Linked DNA regions of Schizosaccharomyces pombe. The gene in region 1 interacts genetically with each later gene. Each region holds a gene or a part of one and is shown in the gene's direction. Other genes may lie near its edges.

The links.
Region 2: mutations in mms1 (region 1) and apn2 are lethal when combined (synthetic lethality), as found in Schizosaccharomyces pombe (2 studies listed by BioGRID, with this or other methods).
Region 3: of mms1 (region 1) and swi1, a mutation in one rescues a mutant of the other (synthetic rescue), as found in Schizosaccharomyces pombe (one study listed by BioGRID).
Region 4: mutations in mms1 (region 1) and pcn1 impair growth when combined (synthetic growth defect), as found in Schizosaccharomyces pombe (one study listed by BioGRID).

Annotation. Positions count from the first base shown.
Region 1 is NC_003424.3:593,365-599,497, reverse strand, and holds mms1 (E3 ubiquitin ligase complex subunit Mms1), read left to right. Parts: upstream 1-1,971; 5' UTR 1,972-2,220; coding exon 2,221-4,598; exon of another isoform or gene 4,599-4,638; coding exon 4,639-4,727; exon of another isoform or gene 4,728-4,766; coding exon 4,767-5,521; 3' UTR 5,522-5,597; downstream 5,598-6,133. Other genes in the region: inositol phosphorylceramide synthase Aur1, read right to left, coding at 1-582; SPOM_SPAC3H8.04 (chromosome segregation protein), read right to left, coding at 5,739-6,133.
Region 2 is NC_003423.3:1,285,802-1,290,634, forward strand, and holds apn2 (AP-endonuclease Apn2), read left to right. Parts: upstream 1-1,587; 5' UTR 1,588-1,604; coding exon 1,605-2,397; exon of another isoform or gene 2,398-2,434; coding exon 2,435-3,213; 3' UTR 3,214-3,349; coding exon of another isoform or gene 3,350-4,159; 3' UTR 4,160-4,293; downstream 4,294-4,833. Other genes in the region: DNA polymerase epsilon subunit Dpb4, read left to right, coding at 342-514, 647-765, 804-1,144; SUMO-targeted ubiquitin-protein ligase E3 Slx8, read right to left, coding at 3,350-4,159; U3 snoRNA associated protein Dip2, read left to right, coding at 4,763-4,833. UniProt on the Schizosaccharomyces pombe protein: DNA repair enzyme that cleaves apurinic/apyrimidinic (AP) sites and removes 3'-blocking groups present at single strand breaks of damaged DNA. Provides the majority of the AP-endonuclease (APE) activity. Repairs phleomycin D1-induced DNA damage.
Region 3 is NC_003423.3:908,732-916,404, reverse strand, and holds the start of swi1 (replication fork protection complex subunit Swi1), read left to right. Parts: upstream 1-1,625; 5' UTR 1,626-1,811; coding exon 1,812-2,759; intron 2,760-2,775; exon of another isoform or gene 2,776-2,834; coding exon 2,835-4,802; 3' UTR 4,803-4,879; coding exon of another isoform or gene 4,880-7,673. Other genes in the region: TORC1 serine/threonine protein kinase Tor2, read left to right, coding at 1-1,134; ATR checkpoint kinase Rad3, read right to left, coding at 4,880-7,673. UniProt on the Schizosaccharomyces pombe protein: Forms a fork protection complex (FPC) with swi3. FPC coordinates leading and lagging strand synthesis and moves with the replication fork. It is required for programmed fork-pausing which is necessary for mating-type switching.
Region 4 is NC_003423.3:3,615,017-3,618,390, forward strand, and holds pcn1 (DNA polymerase delta processivity factor), read left to right. Parts: upstream 1-1,578; 5' UTR 1,579-1,668; coding exon 1,669-1,749; intron 1,750-1,858; exon of another isoform or gene 1,859-1,860; coding exon 1,861-2,562; 3' UTR 2,563-2,829; downstream 2,830-3,374. Other genes in the region: heat shock protein Hsp104, read right to left, coding at 1-60.

The DNA of each region.
Region 1 (6,133 bases):
GATAAGAACACCAAATAAATTCATATAACCAAAAGTTCGAGCCCAAACTGGAAGAGTTCCAGGAGGTGCAAAGATGAAAAGAATAAATGAAATGATAAAAGGAGCCGAATAATGCATGACTCCATATGGAACCCAGGCCAAAATATCAAGGATGCTATGCGTGGTTTTCGAGAGAAGACTAGAAAGATTAGAGCCATAAAGAATATTTTCAAGTGTGGGTAAAACACGAACCCATATGGGTGGACGCCAGCGTTCTGGAATAAACCTACAAGAGTAAAATAAAATTGCCCAGGTGATGATAACAATGGCAGGAAAAAAAATTTGGCGTGTTAAAGGAACGGTCAACGCAATGGCCAAAAGACAGGCAATGCCAAATTTCCCCCAGAATCCAGGAGATTCAATGACAATACAAGCAAAAATCAAATTACCTGCTAGAAACACATATTGCAAATGTGTCCATGACCATTTCGTATTGCGTAGCAAACGAAATGTAGGCATAGGGTTTAAGCTTGTTTCCAACTTGTATTGGGATGCTCGGTTACACGCAGCAAGGCGCTTTTTTAAGGTCGAAAGAGCAGACATTGCTTCAAAGAATTATCAGAGTAAAAAAGGGAAGCGTACGAAAAAAATTTCGTAAGGAATTAACCGGAAAACTAAAGGAAAAAAAAGGAATTTTTATGAAGGAAAGAAAGTAGCTATTAAATGCAAGTGTCAAGCACTTAAAAGTAGCGATGTAAAATATTTAAAAAAAGATGGACCGATTAACCAATGTTCAGCTCACAGTTGCCAGCAATCAGGGCTATTTTTTTATTTTTTTTATAAAATTGCTAATTATATATAATATAATTAGTTTATTAACTTGCTTTTCCTCAAAAAACCAATTCGAGAAAGGAACTTTTGCAGAGGCAAAAAAGCTTCTCCGAAAGAGATACTAGTTTAAAAACCTTTGGTTGCAAATACAAACCAAAATACTCCAATTTAACTATACAATTGGAGTTAGTCGATTTCAATTGCCCCGTATAAATGGTTCTTTAGAGGTTGGTAGTGGCGAGCTGAGAATGGTACGGTCGGCTAGTATTTGTTTAGGTTTGGCAAGTGGTGTTACTGTAGCGCAACACAAGATAGCCTAGCGAAAACAACGTTATTTCGAAACTCTAGGTAATTGGAAGATATTCCTTCTCAGGTAACACTATTCGGCAACGGCAGCCAATAAAATATTTGAAAGCTAAGACTCGTTATTAAACAATAAGACACTAAGCTCCATATATAATTACCGTATCCAAGTTTACTGCACGGAAATGAGAAAGCGGAAAGTAAATCAGAAACAATTTTAGCGAAATAAAATATGAATTTCGATATAATAAGATAAAAACATTGCGGTTGAGGGTAGTATCAGATGAAGCAAATATATTATTGTAACTAAATACCTTAAGCGCATCTAGGACACGTACTTAAGCATGGGTCTATATATTCAATAACTTAGCAATGTTACGAAATATTTAGGAGGAATAGTTTTATGCACTCTTTAATACTTCAAATTTTACTTCCGTCTATATCTGTTGAATTAAGCATTCAAAATGACAATTGACAACATTAAAACAATGTAAATCTATTTGGAAGTACTAATTTTTGTTTTCGATTTCTTAATTAGGAAAACAAAAAGTGCCTACTTGCATTTTCACAGCCTTTTTCTTTGGATTCTGAATGTATACATTAGCACCCTGTTGATAATTCTTTCACGTAGGTAAAAAAGACATCATTAAGCTATTGATTTTAAATGGCCGTAGAAAATTCAAACTGTCGTAGGTCAGACAACACTTCTCTAAAGATGAAACCAAATCGTATATTTGTTAACTAGAAATCAAAATCATATATCGCATATTAATTGTTATCTTAATTTTTGTGTTCCTTAGGTTCTCGAAATTCCAACGATGGATATTCTTACATACATTCAACACAACCCAACATATTAACTCGAACAAGCCATGGTTGGTTGTCAATAATCCTTTCACATTTGGAGGAACTCGTAAGGATCTATCTTCTAAATAAGGGCGTTATATATATTTAAACCTGTACATATCTATTTTCATTGATTTTAATGTTTTTTCCGTATTTGCTAATTTCTTTGATGCATACGATTAACTAATAGCTTTTTCTATTCTATCAAAATTTGACTCTAATCAAATTAAATTGGTTCCAAGCGTTTAACTTTGTGAATTCATGGCAGAAATTATTCATCATTCAAACGTATTCACCTGGGCTTTTCATGTTTCCGAATATGATGGTGCTCCTCTCCTTTTACTTGGATCTTTTTCCTCTGTAGCTTCTGTGAGTTTAAAGCGATCTGGTGATTTACTACTTTTTGAAAGATTCACGTTGCCTGCAAGAACGAGGTCTGTTGCTTTGTTATCAAGCCATTTCCTTCAGTCAGAATCAGGTAGACATTCAATAGCGAATATTTTAATTGCTACTGAAAACGGAAAATGCTACTTGTTGCAGCTCGTCAAAACACCAGAAAAAGCGTTTCCGACGATTCGTATTAGAGATGAATTCGTTCTTGATACTCGAATGTACAACCATGAACAATTAGGAAAATCAATTGATTTATGCCCAAATGCTTCCTTGTGGGCTACTAATTCTTTTGCTGGTGATATTGTATTTTTCTTTTCACATCATCCTTCCTTAAGCAAGCAAGTCTTCGCTCAACTTTCTATCGATGGAATAATACTTCATACCATATTTGTACCTCCAAAAAGATCCTCTTCGTCTTGTGTTACGTATGTTTGTCTTTTTCTAGATTCAAATTCGAATCCTAGAATCAATGTTTATAGGTGGTCTAAGACGGAAACCTTTTCTGATGCTAGTTCTTACATAACCTTCTCAATACCGGTTCCATCCGAATTTTCTCTTGCTTCCCATATTATCCCTTGCTCCAATATTCCTGATCATTTTTTAGTATTATTGGAGACAAAGATTTGTCTGCTTTCTGTCCCACAGATAGAATGTGGGGATCTAAAATTTTTACAGACCGATCTTCCATGCAGCGGTTCACATAATTATCCATTGTCTATTGCAAATGATAACGAAACTCCGAATTGTTGCTATTTAACCTACGAAAATGGAGATTTGTATCGCATTCGTTACTCTATTTTGTCTATTGATATTAATTTAATTGGAAAGACTGGATCTTCTTTAGGAAATTTGATACTACCTTGTTATCCATACATTGTTTTTTGTGGTGACTGTTCTGATACATTAGTGTATGATGTTTCGGTATCGCCTATGTCCTTTTTTGGTAGCTTAATTGCTTGCGCTCCAATGTGGGATTTTGTGTATTCCTCATCAAGGCATAACACTTTGTTGGATGAAGACATCAATTGTAATACAGTTTATGCTACTGCTGGCATTGGTAAATCTGGGTGTTTGGTCACAATGCGTTACGGGTGCTCATCCACTACTTTGCTTGAAGCAATATTAACTGAGGGAGCTGTTTTATCAGGAATTATAAATTCTAACCACAACTCTGAATTTTACGCTTGGCTAACTTATCCTTGGCAAACACAAATTTTAAGGCTTCATCTCGATGGGGTCGTCGAAGATGTTACCGAAAGTCTTTTTTTGGATGATATAAAAGCTTTATATGTTATAAATTACCAAAATACGTTTATCATTATTACGGGAAAATCCATTTATGCTGTTACTCCTAGTTGTACAAAGTATAACCTTCTTGAGGTTTCAGGAGATGAAGAATTTGTTTTGGCTGCTTATAACGAATTAATTTTCATCGTTAAAAAAGATTTAATGAATTTCAAAAGTCAATTGCTTACACTAAAACTAAATACTCTTTCTAATGGTACACTTGAACTTCAGTCGCTTCCGGATTCCTTCGATCTACACGATGTCCCTACTTGTATTACTTCCTTTTCTTTGGAAAGAAAGCTACTGGTGATACTGGTTCATCCTTCACCTTATTTTGAATGCGTTTTCTATGATGAAACCTCACACTCTAGTGTCTATAAAGTCCCCTTAACAGGTTTTCAATTTGGATACCTTCCTCATAGCATATCGTATTTGAGAAAATCAAACCGCGCTGTTTATGTATTGATTTCATCCAACTCTACTCTTTTAACCGTCTATGTAACTCTAACGTTAGAGGGAGTACCGGATTTTAAAGTTTACTCTAATCCTATTTCAACAGACTTACCACTCACGTTACAGTCACCCTCCGATGAGTTTTCAACAATTTATGCATGGTCTGACTATTTGTATATAGTGGGTATCGATATGGAAACTGAACAACCTACGCTGAACCAGATACTTGAAGTAAATGACAGTTTTACTTGTGTTTCTGGTATTTACGATATTCCAAATAAGTTCCAGAACAGTGAATCAAGAATCATAGTGTATTATTCGAATAATACTTTGTACCTATCGGAACTTTGGCTTCCACAGCGAACCTTTTCTTCAAAACTAAATCTTGCAGCAACTCCCAAGAGATTACTTGTTGATAAATATACGAACACTTTAATCATTGGATGTTGTCACGTTTTAGTAAATGAAATTACAACCTCAGGTCTTGCTTTTTACGACTTGACTAAGTGAGTTACGTGTTTCTAGTGCCTACTAACAATTACACAGCTCGCGACTTTTCCCTGTCAATTGGCCTTCAATGGATATTAAAGGTAAACCAATATTCAAACCGGAGGAATTATTATATTCTATGTCTTGTAAGTTAGCTTTACTTTAATCACCTAACGATTATTTAGTTTGGATTGTAGCCGACGATCAAAAAAGAAAATATAGGTACCTTTGTATAGGAACAGGGGTACGAAAAAACGGATTAACTACAGGTCGTTTGTTAATTCTTACCATGAATAAAGATCATGACAGCAATGCTATAGAACTTCGCAATGTCATCACAATTAATATGAAAGACCCTATTTATTCCGTTTGTTCGATCGGAAAACATGGATTGTGTTATGCAACAGGACGAAAGATTGGTGTAAAGATGTTGGACTTAGACTCAAAGAAGTTTTGCAACAGTGATTGTGAGTTACCTGTTCGGTCTCCCATTGTATCGATGTCAACGTATAAGGACTATGTGTACACTTCTAGTTTAAGAGATTCTGTTGCCGTGTTCCAGTATGATAGTGAAAACAACTCCCTTAATTTAGTTTGCAGCGACACATCATCGAGACTAGGCATTGATTGCTTTTACATTTCACAAAAAAAATTATTGTTTTCTTGTGACAAAGACCGGTTATTAACTTGTTTCAAAGTTGAGGGTGAAGTTTGCACGTCTACCAGAGAACAAATGCTCCAGCCAATTCTTACTACAGTGTCTCAAACAAAAACAAATGCCTTAACTAACCATTTAAAGTATTCAGTTATTCGGGTGGATAAAGATAATCATAATATTGTTTGGGGATTGATGGGTTGTACTTTAGATGGGAATATCTTCAAGATCTTAATGCCTAACGATCCGACTTCGTCGGATACAATTATCTATTCTGATACTTAATGTTATCACACATTAGAAATTCCAATTTACAACAATAAATTTATCAGAGCAATACTAATGAACAATTTTTGGATGGTTTTAAATGACGTAGATAAGCAAAGAGTATAATATTAAATTAATTTAATATAAACTTGGAACGCATGAATGTTAATTTTCATTAAAAAAGAGTTATATAAGTCAATAAATCTTTACATGTCAGCAGTAAAAAGTTGGCTAGCTATCGACAACTTTCTGACAGCAGTGTTTCATTCACAATCTTCGTGTTCCCATATAACCCGCCTAAAGATTGCTGGACAAAAATAATTCTTTGAGAGTCATAAAGGTAATGGTGTCCTGCAGAAGTGCAAATAATTTGTAACTGTAATCCAAACTTTAAATGACTTAAAATTTTCCCACTTTTATCGTCTAGTTGCTGAAGATAATGTTTCTGGCGAATCCAGGTTTTAGAGCAATCAACCATACTTGAAACATTATAAGGCACCAAAAAAACTTTAATGACTAAACCGTTAGTTTGTCGAAGTATTAGTTGTAATTGCCCAACTGATGGAATTCTATATCCGAATGGATAGCCTTTATTCATGACTTTGTCGCTTTTTTGACTTCTCAGTCGAA
Region 2 (4,833 bases), on another chromosome or scaffold:
AAGCTTTATTTATTTCTAACAACGCTAAAAAACTTTTTTTTTTACTCATTTAATATAAACAAAACAGTACAACTATTTAGTTTTAAGAAATTTGATAGCATTTCTACAAATGTTTCAACTCTAAGGCTCTCTCGGATTCTGCTCATAACGCACAGATAGTGTTTAGTGAAAATTGACAGAAATAGGCGACTCAGTGAATTTATTATACATTAATTAGCTAAAAAGAAGCAACCGCCTTTCTCTGTGATTATCGTTTGGTGACCATAGGATGATATTTGGATTGGATTTATAAAAGACTTGTATACAGCGTTTGTAAAAGATCTAGCGGCTGGAAAATCAATATGAATCAAGATAAATCGAAAGAAACTTCCGAATTGGATGATCTGGCGCTTCCTCGATCGATCATTATGCGATTAGTCAAAGGTGTCTTACCTGAAAAGAGTCTTGTACAAAAAGAAGCTCTCAAGGCTATGATCAATTCAGCAACTCTTTTTGTTAGTTTTCTAACATCCGCGTATGTAATCTATATAACTATATAACCATATTGAAGGGCTTGTATGATGAAAGAATTTATTATATAATTGCCAATTTTATTTTCTTCTGGAAACACTTTGTATATGAATGAATAAAGACTAACGTTACTTAGTTCTGGGGAAATTGCTACGAATAATAACAGAAAAATTCTTATGCCTCAAGACGTTTTGAATGCGCTCGATGAAATTGAGTATCCAGAATTCTCTAAAACGTTAAAAAAACATCTCGAAGGTATGTTTCTTACTCTGTACTTCTTCTAACTATTAAAGCATATGAGCTTGCCTTGAAAGAAAAACGATTGAAACTCCCTAACGTATCAGATGTTGATAACAGAAAGAAAGCCAAAATAGACGCGCATGACACTACTCCTCTAGATGAAGAAAAAGACGAATTAGAAGAAGAACGAATTGCGGAGGATATAGCACAAAATGAAGTTGAGCAAAATATTGATGATGTGGAGGACCTCGAAGAAGTGAATGATACATTAGACGCAAACGCAGAATCTCCTCAAATAGAAACCATTCATCTTACAGATGCTACGGGAAACCCAATTGAAGATAGCTCTGAATCCGACTCAGAAGAATCTCTTCAACTTAATGATTCTTCGTAATTACTGTTGGTTAAATGTATATGAAGATTGTCAATAGTCCTAACTTACATGGAGAGCTAATCATATTTTTTTACACGAAAAACTAAACCTTCTTTATTTTTTAATGGATTTTTTGGATACCTGTTAATACCCCAATTTACATCCTTGTATCCAAACATAGCTTTTTTAAACAGCAGTTTGAGATAATGTCTTTCTAGCACAACATGTATACTCGTTTAATGACATATATTTAGAAAGAATCATTAGATTGTTTACAGTTGTAACTCAATATTAGTCAATCTAGAATTTTTTTGAAAATCAACATTCAATAGGGAGAAGGTCGAAAAGAAAAGAAAAAGTTCATTCTCGAATTAAACAAATGCATTTTATTTTCCATCAGATTAACTTATGTCAACAATTGTAAATTCAAAAGTCTGTCGCCTTTACCTTCGCACACTTTCTCTACGTAAAAATTATAAGAATGCGAATTCTAAGTTGGAATGTGAACGGTATACAGAATCCATTCAATTATTTTCCATGGAATAAAAAAAATTCCTACAAAGAGATATTTCAAGAGTTACAGGCTGATGTAATATGTGTTCAAGAATTGAAAATGCAGAAAGACAGCTTTCCTCAACAATATGCAGTTGTTGAGGGATTCGACAGTTATTTTACATTTCCTAAGATCAGAAAAGGCTATAGTGGGGTTGGATTTTATGTAAAAAAAGATGTTGCTATTCCAGTGAAAGCAGAAGAGGGAATTACTGGCATCCTGCCAGTACGAGGACAAAAATATTCATATTCAGAAGCACCGGAGCATGAAAAGATAGGATTTTTCCCAAAAGACATTGACAGAAAAACTGCTAATTGGATTGATAGTGAAGGAAGGTGTATATTATTAGATTTTCAGATGTTCATCCTAATCGGTGTTTACTGTCCAGTAAACTCTGGAGAAAATAGACTAGAATATCGACGGGCCTTTTATAAAGCCTTACGAGAAAGAATTGAAAGATTGATAAAGGAAGGAAATCGAAAAATCATTCTCGTTGGGGATGTGAATATTTTGTGTAATCCTATTGACACTGCTGATCAAAAAGACATTATTCGAGAGAGTCTTATTCCAAGCATCATGGAATCAAGACAATGGATACGTGATTTATTACTACCAAGCAGGTTGGGACTACTGTTGGACATTGGCCGTATTCAACATCCTACTCGGAAAGGAATGTTTACATGTTGGAATACAAGACTTAATACAAGGCCCACAAATTATGGTAAGTTCTGAATTGTTATTTTTTTTACAATGGATAGGTACGAGAATTGATTACACTTTGGCAACACCCGATTTATTACCTTGGGTTCAAGATGCAGATATTATGGCTGAGGTCATGGGTTCAGATCATTGCCCCGTATATTTAGATTTAAAAGAAGAATATGAAGGAAAAAAGTTGTCCAACTTTCTAAGTCACTCAAAAGAACCACCTTTACTATCAACGGCGCATCATTCAGCCTATCGGCCATCAAAAAATATTCATTCAATGTTCCAACATTTCAATTCGATGAAAAAGAATAAAAACAACTCACCCACTCAGAGCGAAAACGTATCTGCTTCTGCGTCCAGCGGCTCCTCACCAACTGTTTCTCGTGCAAACTCTGTCATAGACGTCGATGCCTACCCACCGGAAAAGAGAAGACGAAAAGAACAATCGAAGCTTCTTTCATTTTTTGCGAAGCAAAAGGAAGAGAAAGAAGAAACCAATAAAACAGAAGACGTTTCGATTGAGGTCCTTGATAACAATAATGAATCTGACATAGGGTTGACAGTAAAAAAAAAAGTAGAAAACGGGAACGCCTGGAAGCAAATATTCAGTGAACGAGCTCCTCCACTTTGTGAGGGTCACAAGGAACCTTGCAAGTATTTGACAGTGAGGAAGCCGGGAATCAATTACGGGCGGAAGTTTTGGATTTGTGCCAGACCGGTTGGTGAACTGATTAAAAACTCAAATGCAGTTTCTGAGGAAGATACTCAACCGTTCCAATGCAGGTTCTTTATCTGGGACTCAGATTGGAGAGCAAATTCAAAGGACTGAAAATTTGTAATGACTAGCATAACTTGCTCTTAATCAATTCTCAATTTTGATGTGTATAAACCGCAAAAAGCATTGAGCAGTGCATCACACATCTTTCATTAACATTCTTAATATGTATATACGGAATTTTGTACGGTTAAGATTTCTTTTTTTGAGATCCGAGCATCATTTCCAAACATATAACTTTGTTTGGATGTACTTTTCTTCTGCACACCGGACATTTTTGTGTGGCAGCCGTTGTACCTAAAGCACTTAGTATACAAAAATTGCAAAATATATGCCCACAGGGAGTACAAGATAGGTTTTCCGGACTATCCAGACAAATTACACACTTATAATCAGCTAGTCGTTGTGAAGATGGAACAACCTGTTTTTTGCTAGGTTCTTCTTTTTCAATTTCGGCGTTGGTGGTCGATGGGTTCTTTCCCTGTTCAAATTTTTGTTTTCTTGGATCATAGGAAGTCTCATCAGTTAAATCAATCATATCGCTTATAGTAGTAGGTTGCGCGTGAATACTATTAACATTTGTTAAACTGTTTTCAACGGAAGCTGGATGATTGTTGTAGGTGAATCTTTGATTTATGTCATCAGCATCATTCTGAAAATTAATGTCTTCCAAGTCGAATACTTCACTTTCCACATCTATGTTTAAATCAGAGGTTTCAACAGGTAGTGTTTCTTCTTGTGCTAGCTCCGAAGCAACCTCTCTTAGCGACCTTGGTGCACGATTCAGTGGTAAAGACTCATTCTCAGAGGTAGTGCCTGAAGGATAGTCTGTTGCATCTTCTGAAACCGGAAATCCGTTTCCTGGCGAATTCTCTACTGGAGAAGAACGTCTCCTATTTATTGCTGCATTTCCAGCTGCGACTCTAGCGGATTGAGATGGGATATTGTATGGTGCAGATAAGTTTCTAACGTTGGTATCTCTCTTATGTGCGGGTGGCATTTTTTTGCCAATTGGTCCTGAAATTCGAAAATAGTTTATAGATTATTGATTAATGGGCTAATATTAGGATAATTTTGATCGTATCCTAATCGATTGTCAAATGCTTTTCAGGCTTGCTAGAATAATAAAAGAGAATTGTGTTAACGTCAATATACGCAAACAGCAATTATTTTGGCAACTTGCCAACAAGTTTAAAATTAAATTTAGTAGACCTATGATTTTTGAAGTCTACATGGAAAAATTGGCTCACTACCACAATGTTGTAAGATGCTAGTCTAATTAATATTTATGACCTTTTTCATGAGCACATTCAATAGCGCAAGCGGTATTTCAAATAAGAAAAGAGAACAGAAAAGCTGGTAAAACTTAATTGTGTATCAATAATCTTTTCAATGCAGTTCATTAAACTGCGCAACCGACATTATTATGAGTATTCCATAAACTATGCAAAAATGTATTATGGAGTGCATTAAGGAATGCTAAAATAAAAAAACGATAACAATGTATATCGCTATTTCTTTTCCAAATTGTTGAATATTAGAGGAGTGTATATACTTAGCATCAACCAACGCCTTTTTTTTAATCTAGGTCTGGGTAGACGCAATGGTCAAAAGCTATACGCGGTACGAACCAACCGAATTTTTTGGTGTCATTGCGTCTTCGGGATGTAATAT
Region 3 (7,673 bases), on another chromosome or scaffold:
ACATTCAACGTGATAACATCTAAGCAACGTCCGAGACGACTGAGTATTAAAGGCAGTGATGGAAAAGATTATCAATATGTTTTAAAGGGTCACGAGGACATCAGACAAGATGAACGTGTTATGCAGCTATTTGGGCTTTGTAACAATCTGTTACTAGCTGACCCGGAAACTTTTAAGCGCTTACTTTCAATCCAAAGGTATCCAGTGATTCCTTTATCACCGGATTCAGGCCTTTTAGGCTGGGTTTTGGATAGCGATACTTTGCATGTCTTAATTCGTGACTACAGAGAAAGCAGAAAGATTTTACTCAACATAGAACATAGGTTGATCATTCAGATGGCTCCAGATTACGATCGTCTCACTCTCCTTCAGAAAGTTGAAGTCTTTGAATATGCCCTACTTAGTACTACGGGGCAGGATTTATACCGCGTTTTATGGCTGAAGAGTCGTAGCTCAGAAGCTTGGCTTAATAGGCGAACTAACTATTCTCGTACTCTTGCGGTGATGTCAATGGTAGGGTACATCTTAGGTTTGGGCGATCGTCATCCTTCCAATTTGATGCTGGACAGGTATACAGGTAATATCATCCATATCGATTTTGGAGATTGTTTTGAAGTAGCAATGCATCGAGAAAAGTTTCCCGAGAAGATTCCTTTCCGCCTTACGCGAATGCTTGTTAACGCAATGGAAGTTAGTGGTATAGAGGGGACGTTCCGGATAACATGCGAACATGTTATGCGAGTTCTTCGTACTAATAAGGAGTCTGTGATGGCAGTTTTAGAAGCTTTCGTTTACGATCCTCTTATTAACTGGCGCCTTGCTCCTGCATATTCACCTTCTATCGATGAAAAGCAATCTAACGAACCTAATACACTTCTCGGTGAGACAATTGATGGTTTACACCGGAAACGCTTAAACGAAGAAGGAATTACACTTGAAGAACGTCAAAAACCCGAGATACTCAATCAAAGAGCTATAACCGTTCTTAATCGTGTGTCCAATAAACTTACTGGTCGGGATTTCAAACCCCAACAGCAATTGGATGTACCAAGTCAAGTAGAGAAGCTGATTTTACAAGCAACCTCTATAGAGAACCTATGCTTGTGCTATATTGGCTGGTGTAGTTTCTGGTAGGTGACAGTCCCAAACGTTCAAATTGCTTTTCTGCCGCATCATATATATATTCTATATTAAATAAAGTGTAAATAGTCTTTATGAATGAGTCCTGTAACAATTTATTACGTTGTTTTACAATTTTACAAAATAGAGGAAATGTTGAATTTGACGCAGAATTTTTAGAATTTTGTAGTAGAGAATGCATCTCTTTATATTGTTATTAAAGATTTGCTGCTTAATCATTCTGAAAATAATAAACTCTAAATTTCTACATCTGAAATTGTGAAAATTATTGAAACTAAATTCTAATTATGCATTGTACAAGTTAGGTAGCAAATTCGTTTTGTTGAGTCCATATTATCGAATTTTATAATATAATACTGAATGCCATTTTAATGCGATTTAAATTATAAAGTGTTTTACTTTACACACATTTTTTTAAAAATCCAAGTTATTTTGAAAAGTTAAATATTGTTTTAAAAATTTATTATTCATTGTTTACTGTCACCACCCCTCTTCACGTATCTACAATCAAATTTACTTATCTTAAAAGAATACGATTATTCATGAACATAATTAATATCGCTTAATTATTAAAATTTATTTAATTTCTTAAATTTGGTTTATTTATCGACGCATACCGACAATACAAAAAAAAGGAACTTGAGAGCTTTTGATTTAACAAATCAACTTGAATGGAATTAGATGAGGTGATTCAAGGCATTGTTTCTGCCATTGGAGGATTTGACTATTCAGACGATGAAAAAGTGTACGTTCTTGGTGATGAAGCTTTGGCTTGCCTAAAGGATCTGAAGCGCTATCTTCAAGTAGTCGATGAAAAGTACAAAGTTTGGCAAATTCGATCTTTGCTCTCGAGCTTACAGTTGGTAACTAATGATATATGTCCAATACTCTCTGACTGGGATAAAGACATTACTAATTACAGAAACTGGCGTATCGCTTTAGCTTGTGTTGAGCTTCTTGTACCATTAACATGGCCTTTGGAGACTGAGCATGAAACATTCAGAGAAAATGTTGATGTTCTCTATAATCTGCGTCAAGCTCAATCAAATTATAAAAATTCAATTTTATCTTACAAGAAGGGGAGCGTTTTATCCGCCATTTTAGCTGTTTTACTAAAGCCCTTAAGTACTCCCGCAGAATCCAGAACACTTAGAGACAAGGGAATAATCAGGATAGTGCTGTTACTATTTCGAAACATTCTTCAAATCGATGAATTAAAAACAAAAAATGAAACAATTATCTCGTTTGCGAAAGCTCATATATTAGATTTGATTGTCACACTGGTCTCGAATCTCGATGAATTTGAGCATTTTGATGTTTACATATTAGAAATAGTCTACAACTTGATCAGAGGTTGTAAGCCATCAGCCCTTTTCTCTGATGCCTCATTGACTAACTCTCAAACCGAACTTAATAGCTTACTCCTCAAAGAGTCGACCCAAAATCGCTATTTGAAACGAAATGCACATACGAGGCATAATAGATTTGGAACCATGCTTTCTGTTCAAACTGAAGACAGAAGATTTACTATTGCTAGCCAAAATATAAAAACCGACGGCCTTGATGAGCTTGACTCTCATAAGCGTTTTCGAAAACGAGGAACACGTCGAAAACATTTTGTATGTACTTAGTTAAACACGATGTTTGTTTAAATTTTTTTTTCCAATTCAACTATTCTATTCTAACAATATTAGGATGACATAAACAAATCGTTCTTTATCAATACCGAGGCAGGTACTGCATTAAGGAACTTTGCTGTCGAATTTTTGGAAGCTGGATTCAATCCATTATTTCAGTCTCTCTTAAAAGACTTGGAAAGAGAAGATCCTCGTGTGCTTCCAATTCATAAAATGCAATTATTATACGTTCAGTCATTTTTTTTGGAATTCATGAGATTTTCGTCTAAACCAAAAAAAACAGAAGAAATTTACTCTAATGATTATAGTTTTGGCTTAGCAGCCTCCGTTTTTGACCAACGAGCTTTGATTATGCACAACAGGTTAATGGTAGAATCCTTTGAAATGAAACAATGGAGCACCTTCCAAGCATCCATGCTTTCGATGACTCAATTACTTTTCACTCTTCGAAGTATGACACTTTGTTCCTCAGAAATTTACCAAAGAATTGCCGATAATCTACTAAGCAATATCTTTTACCAAGAGGAAATTCTTTTACTTGTTTATAGCGCTTTAAAGCATTTTAAAACTCAGTCCTTTGGGTATTTAGATGCAATAACTGAGCTAACTATAGTGCTATTAAAGGAGCTTGAGAAATTTAGCAGTGCTAAACAATATCTCTATGTGAAAAAGAGAAGGAGAAATCAGAAATCTGTTGATAGCAATGTCTTGGAATCGGATGAAGATGAAGAAAGCAGCTTGATTAATGCTAATGCAGCCGTTGAGGACCGTCTGTTTGATTTCGGCAGATATGAGTCTAGGTACTGTGATAATGGATGTATTGATAGTTTCGTGCTGTTCCTTCAATGTTACCAAGATCTGGATTCAAAACAAATTCATAGGGCTATTTCCTTTTTTTACCGCATTTTCGTGAAGCAAAAATGCCATGTTTATTTGTATCGTCTCGATTTCCTACGTGTTCTGGACAAAATGTTTAATGACCATGTCTATTTTTCTACTACAAATTCAGCAAGACAGGATTTTGAACAATTTTTTGTATATTATATGCGAAAGCTTTCAGATGCATTAAAAGATGTACCAGCACTTTTTATTGAGTTGCCTTTCCCAAAATTAACCGACACATTTTATTATCTGGAATATGGAAAAAGTCCACTTTTCTCTATTCATGGTTCGAGAAAAGGCCCGTTATACGAGACGGTGCCTGGCTTATCACATTTGGAAAAGGTGGCTGCCGTTGTTGCATGCCTTATAAATGAAAACAAAAGTGATTTATTAGATGAATTGAAAGTTCAACTTAATTGCCTCATTTCAGAAAGAAAGCTAATAACGCTAGCTGACGAGAACAAATATATAAATGAAGGTGGAAATGATGGTGAAAGAATGGGGAAGAATTTGAAAGGAGACACAGATTCATTTAATACGGCCCTTTTGAAAGACGGAAAATTTCGTCTATTATTAGAATTATGTGGATTCGAAGAATCAGATAACAATATAGACGTTCAAGCACTATGGAAATTACCAAATTCTGTTATAATTGATGAACTTGTTGAGCATGCCATGTTGTTGAGAAGGTTTACTGATGATCCGCCGACGTTTGAAGGCACCAAGCCCGAAGATTTATTAGTGAGGAAGCAAAGAGGAAATGTTCGTTTACCATCAAGTAGTGAGGGTGAAACATCTGACGAAGAAATTGAATTTGAAGCAGATGATCCTATAACTTTCGCCAATCGTCGAGAAGCGTTAAATAAGATTACTGACAGAAAACGTAAAAAGATGAAAACTAACGAAACTATTATTGACCATACAACTCGAAAGAAAAAGGAAAACCATTTACGATCTGCAAAATATATTGTTGATTCGGATGATGACTCAGAAACAGATATAGCTTTTTTTCAATCAGAAGCTGCTTTACGAGAGAAAAATGCACAAAAAGCCAGTGCCCTATTTAAGCGAATCGACGATTTAGAAATGGAAGGAAAATTACAAGAAATTGAACAACTCAGCGAGAATTCTTCATCGGATTAATAAATAAAATATCTTCGATTCAAATCATAAGTTTAATAATGGGTAGCTTGTTCATTGAAATTTTTGTTAGTAAAATGCTAGAAATAAGCAGCCCAACCAATGTACATTTCTACCAGGTTTTTTGGGTTGACAGCAGATTTGATCAATTCTTGAATTTGCCCTTCAATAGATAAAGGTATCGTCTCCCCTGGCATAAAGCCTTGAAATTTTTTGCGAATTATATCCAAAACTTCATTTGCTTCATTATTCGGGTACTTGCTTGACGACTTCTTTCTATTCCACTCGACTAAAGGATCATGTAGGAAAGACTCTAGTACGCTCATCAATGTATCTTGGTTTGAGCGAAGAAGCCGCATCGTTATTTCGCTAGCTTTCCTGAAACCCCCTTCATAACCTGTCGGACCCATTGCATCTACCATATTATGAGTTAATCTGAACGGCACCTTTTCAGGTTTTTCAAAAGTAAGACCTTTATCAAAAAGACAGTTGAAATCGACATGGATAGCTTCACCTGTAAATTCATCAAACAATATGTTTTCGCCATGGCGATCTCCCAAACCCAAAACGTAGCCAACTATTGACATTACTGCTAAAGTTCGGCAATAGTTTTGTCTACTAGTAACCCAATTATTTGGTTCTGGGAAAGATTCAACAAACCACTCATAAAAAACTGGAGGAAATTTCGGTAAGATTTTCTTTTCAAATATATCACCAGGGTTAGGACTTCGCAGTGCAAAGTCTAAATCAACTTTGATTTCTTGATATGATATGGGAATGTTTTTCTGTCTATAGCTTTTTAACAAAATTTCTCTAAATGGACGAGTATGATTTACCCATTCGATAAATCCGCATTCTTCATTTAAAGGAATAACAACATAAGTTCTAATACACAAGTTCCTTCTGTTCGCTTCTTGATCTTTCCTCAATATTTTACAAATAAGATTATTAAATTCCATCAATCTAGCATCCTTACGAAGATCATCTTTGGGTTTGCACAAGAATGGGTATAAGTTGCCATCCGTACCTCTAACGTACACTTTTCTTGGTTTTTGAAGAGAGTTCATTATATCCACCTCATCCTCAAATTTCAACAGAGTAGGCTGAGTTTTTGGAAATGGATAATGACTAGCTCTGTTAGCATCTTTAGCTGGTAAAGTAATGTCTAAAAATGATTTAGCAGGAATGACTAAATCTACCGGATCATCAAAAGAAAGCCGAAAATGATCCTTTAAGCTCATTTTTACAGATTTACTGTTAATCCTTGTATTGCACAAATTGATTAACTTTTCAGTAATGAGAATTGCAGATTGACTGAGTGCTTTTATATCAACTTTGGAAGACATAGAAAGCTTCCTAGAATGTAAAACATTTAAAATGCTTTTTCCACGAAGCGAGCGCTTTTGAGAAGTCGATTTTATTGTTGCCATTAATTGCCATAGCGTCTCCCCAGGATAAGATGCTACAACGTTTGCAATTATATGTTCCAAAATTTTATAAACTTTATTATTTGGATGGCATACTCTGGATATCATTTGGGATAATGCAACCAGAAAAAAGTATTGAGGAATTTTCATAGAAAGGCGACAAACATTCGAATTCATAAGTTCCAAAGATTTTTTTCTCGAAGAGATAATGTGTTCACGAAAGTACTTTTCGCCGTCATCTTTAGATAAGCGAAGTTCTTCGGCCCCAAAATCAAGCCACAGTGTGAGCAATTTTGGCATACTTTCATATATATGATTTGTACCATAGTACAAAGATCGACCAAATTCGTTAATTATGCGAGTTACTAACTCACCACTTAAAAATCGTTCGCTCTGTTCATTAACTGGGAGCTTTTGTTCTTCTTCATACATTAAAACTCGATGATGGCCAAGATAATAATGCGTATTCTCACATTCTGAGTAAATCTCTACCGCTTTATGATAATACGTCTCCAAATCCTTCAATCCCAGTTGGCCAGCTTTTCCGAGCCATTTTGTAAGTTTCAAGAACACTTTTCCTTTAAGTGGATTTCCTAAAGTTTCTTTACGATTTTTAGGTCTTTCTTCATGCTCATCAACCAAATCAAACATGTTGTTATTAAGCGAAAAATTCAATTCAGAAATAGCTTTACGATGTTGCCCTTGATGCCACCACCATTGTGCGTGCTCTATTGTTGCTAGCGGTTTATCTAAATCCATTGCTTTGAGGATGGCATTGAAGGCTCTTTGAAATTGACCATTTTTTCGAGATATTCTTGCAATCTCGAGATATATTTCAGCAGTTTTCTTCGTGTTTTCAAATTTTTCATAGCCAACTAAGTGAGTGGACAGGATTTGGTGCTTGAATTTACCGTACGGAGCTACTTGGCTAAGCCGACGGCGAAGAACAATATCAAGATTGTCGGAAACAATTCCGTCAGTTTCAGCAATCCTACTAAAGTCATTAATTGCGTGCAGCTTAGATAAAATATCATAACAATCATAGGCTGAATGGGCGCCTGTGTTTGCAATTGCTGTAGCAGCATCAACGTACAAGGGTTGCAGCCGCTCCGTCAATTCAGCAAAAGAATCCTTCCGTAGGTATTGGTAAAATATGCTACCCAATTTAGCTTCGAAAGATTCCAAGTTGCTTTTTGAAAGACACTTTTTTAACGAATCAATAGATAGCGAACGCCATGAAGCTTCAATACCCAAATTTAACATCTTCGAATACTCGTGGTTGTCATTGATTATAAAAGAATCTAAACTCAAAACAAGAGATTCATAATGCCCCGATTGCAGCATGCTGTTAAGCAAACCGATTTTCGCCTTTTTATTTTCAGGATCCTTTTGAATAATAATTTCGTAACAACTCAAAGCCGAGTCCCATGTTCCTGAATTTTCATGT
Region 4 (3,374 bases), on another chromosome or scaffold:
AATTGAGTACGCATCAGACAATGTCTTTGCGGCTTTGTCAGTAAAAGGATAATCAGCCATATCGAGTTATATTATTATAGGAATTTTTATAATTTATAGATAAATCCAAAAAAAAGGAATTGTATATTTGTCGCTCGTTATAAAACAAAAAAGAGAGAGTCGTTGAACGGTAAATATATACGGTTTTCAGTTCGATTTAATAAGAACTTAATATCGTTATTATAATAAATTCTTCGGTTATAGATTGATGGTTGAGGATGCCGCAGGTAGAGAAGCTGTGCATATATATACACGATGATGTTACTATGGGAAGGAAAGGAACATACCAGAAGATGCCAGTTACATTGTTACTCGAACCTACTCCTACACTCTAGAAAAAGAAAGGGATAAAGTAGGGTAAATCCCAAAGACATGACTAGAAGATTTAAAAAAATAAGAGAAAAATAGCTTAAAAAAAAACCGGTGTAAATTAAAAATGCAGTTACCTTAAAAGTCTTTGAATTGTCTTTAAACATGGAATACTCGAAACCCGGAAATGATCTGCGTATTACGTAGTGTATGGAACAACGTAAAGACGGATACTAACCTCAACTTATTCTCAATTGCATCTTGCTAAATACCGTTAGAATTCATCAATGACTGAATAAATAATTTTTTGATACATAGTTCTTCTATTACAGAGATTCTAGTCATATTTCCAAGCTATTTCTAAGATAGAGCTCTTACATTACTTATTCTATACGGTAGCGATTATTCGTCGTAATGACATTTAACGAACTTTAGTTACTTGACCATAGTGGTTTATAAACTAAACAAACCAACAGTGAATTCTTGTTAACGTAACTGTAATCTACGAATATTGAGAAGAAAAAAAAACGAATGAATTTGTTGTGAATACATATTTTTTCCTTAGCGAACAAGTATACTTCATTCTTATTTTCATACCTCTTTAGTCTTATTTAAACCAGCAATAAAATTCGTTTTAAGTTTTCCGTGTTAATACCAATTAAAATAACGTTTTTTTCAATCATTTTATATGTCATTGCAACGTGAAAATAAGTTAATAAATTTCGGTAGCAGCTAATATGGAAAATGTACAATTTACTTGATACATTAGTGTAGCCTAAATTTTATTTGATCCTGGAAAGTATATTAAGGTAGAACGCGAAAGCTCTCCTAGTTTACGCCGTAAATTGTAATGACTCGCTGATTACATTTGGCTTATTATAATCCGTATAGCTAGAAAATTTCGATAACTGAATATTGCTTCTTTAAAAAGACATAAATAGAACCGTGAATTAGTACAGCAAACGAAAGATAAAAATTTCATAGTAACATGCAAATACTATTTTTTCAGTTAGTTTTCCATAATTTTGTATAATATTTCATATCAAACGCATCTAAAAAGTACGGACGAAATTACTTGCTATTGTAAAAATAAAAAAAATAACAAAACAAATTATAATAACGTGAACTGCTATTTTGGTCTCATATATGAAAGGTTCTTGAGATTTTTTACGTTGTCAGCTAGCAATTTTACGCACACTATTCTGTGCTACGCGCTCTTTGACTACTTCCCAAAAGCCAACTACAAAAGGTTTTTGCAGTAACCTTTGTTAGCTATTCTTTATATCTCTTATCTAGCTTGTATAAAATATAATTACGACTATGCTTGAAGCTAGATTTCAGCAGGCTGCTTTGTTGAAAAAGCTTCTCGATGCCATCAAGGAGTTAGTTACAGATGCTAATGTATGTAAGGGGCAGCATATAAATAAAGATGCTCAACGACAAAGCCTTTCTTTTTTTTAAAAAAAATATATTTATTAACTTCTTTTGAATGATTCTCTAACCTCATAACAGTTTGATTGCAATGACAACGGTATCTCTCTGCAGGCTATGGATAGTTCTCATGTAGCCCTTGTTTCTATGCTTATTAAATCAGATGGATTTGAACCATATCGGTGTGATAGAAATATTGCTTTAGGTATAAATCTGAACGCCTTATCAAAGGTCTTACGGTGTGCCCAAAACGAGGATTTGGTTACTTTAAAGGCTGAAGATACACCTGAGGTATTGAATTTGGTTTTCGAGAGCGAGAAAAATGACAGGATCTCTGATTATGATGTTAAATTAATGGACATTGATCAAGAACACTTGGGTATACCAGATATCGAATACGATGCTACTATTACTATGCCTGCTGCCGAATTTCAACGCATTACTCGAGATTTATTAACTTTGAGTGATTCAGTAACAATCAATGCTAGTAAAGAGGGTGTTCGTTTTAGCTGCAAGGGAGATATTGGTAATGGTAGTACCACGCTGAAACAACATACCGATCTTTCTGACCAAGATCAAAGTATCGAAATTTCTCTTACCCAAGCTGTAACACTTACGTTTTCTTTGAAATATTTAGCCCAGTTCACTAAGGCTACTCCTTTAGCTACCCGAGTCACACTTTCAATGAGCAATGATGTTCCACTTCTTGTGGAGTATAAAATGGAATCCGGATTTTTACGATTTTATCTTGCCCCAAAAATTGGTGAGGAGGATGAGGAGTAGATTACGGAATCAATATCTTTTAGTAATCTCTTTGCAATTGACGAGCTAGCATCATTATAAACATACTTTTGTTTACTTTTTAATTCAACCTTTTTTGTACTGCTCCTTCCCTAACATTCATATCCAAACAGGCAAAATACCAGCTTTTACTTAAAAAAAATCAAATTCTTTAGAACCAACAAACTGAAGGGTAGAAAAACTTGTGTTCTTAGTGATGATTTTTCACAGATAACTTCGTAATCATCTGCTGTAGCTTGTTGATTTAAGTCTAGTACATGATATAATACATTGATATGTAAATTAGCTTAATTCTGAGAATTTATTCTAACTGATAATTGTATACTTATATGGCTAACCGCGTAAGAGCCTCGGAGGGACAGTTCGCCCAAATACTACCAACGCTACCACCAGTAGCAGCAAGGCGTAAAAGTTACTTAAAGAAGATAGAATTCCTTACTCTCTATACTGCCAACTTTTCGTAATAATTTATATATTTTACTATTTGGCTATATTTGAAATTTTTAGCGTTGAATATACTATGGCAGGAGATAGTGTGAAAAGTGCAATCATTGGGATTGCTGGGGGTCCTTTTTCTGGAAAGGTATTTTATTAAAATATTTTTTTCTTAATTCTAATACTTTAATACTAGACACAACTCTGTGAGCAATTACTTGAACGTTTAAAGTCATCAGCACCTTCAACTTTTTCTAAATTGATCCATCTTACTTCATTTCTTTATCCCAATTCTGTCGACAGGTATGCACTTTCCTCTTACGATATTGAAGCGTTTAAAAAAGTTCTTTCTTTGATTT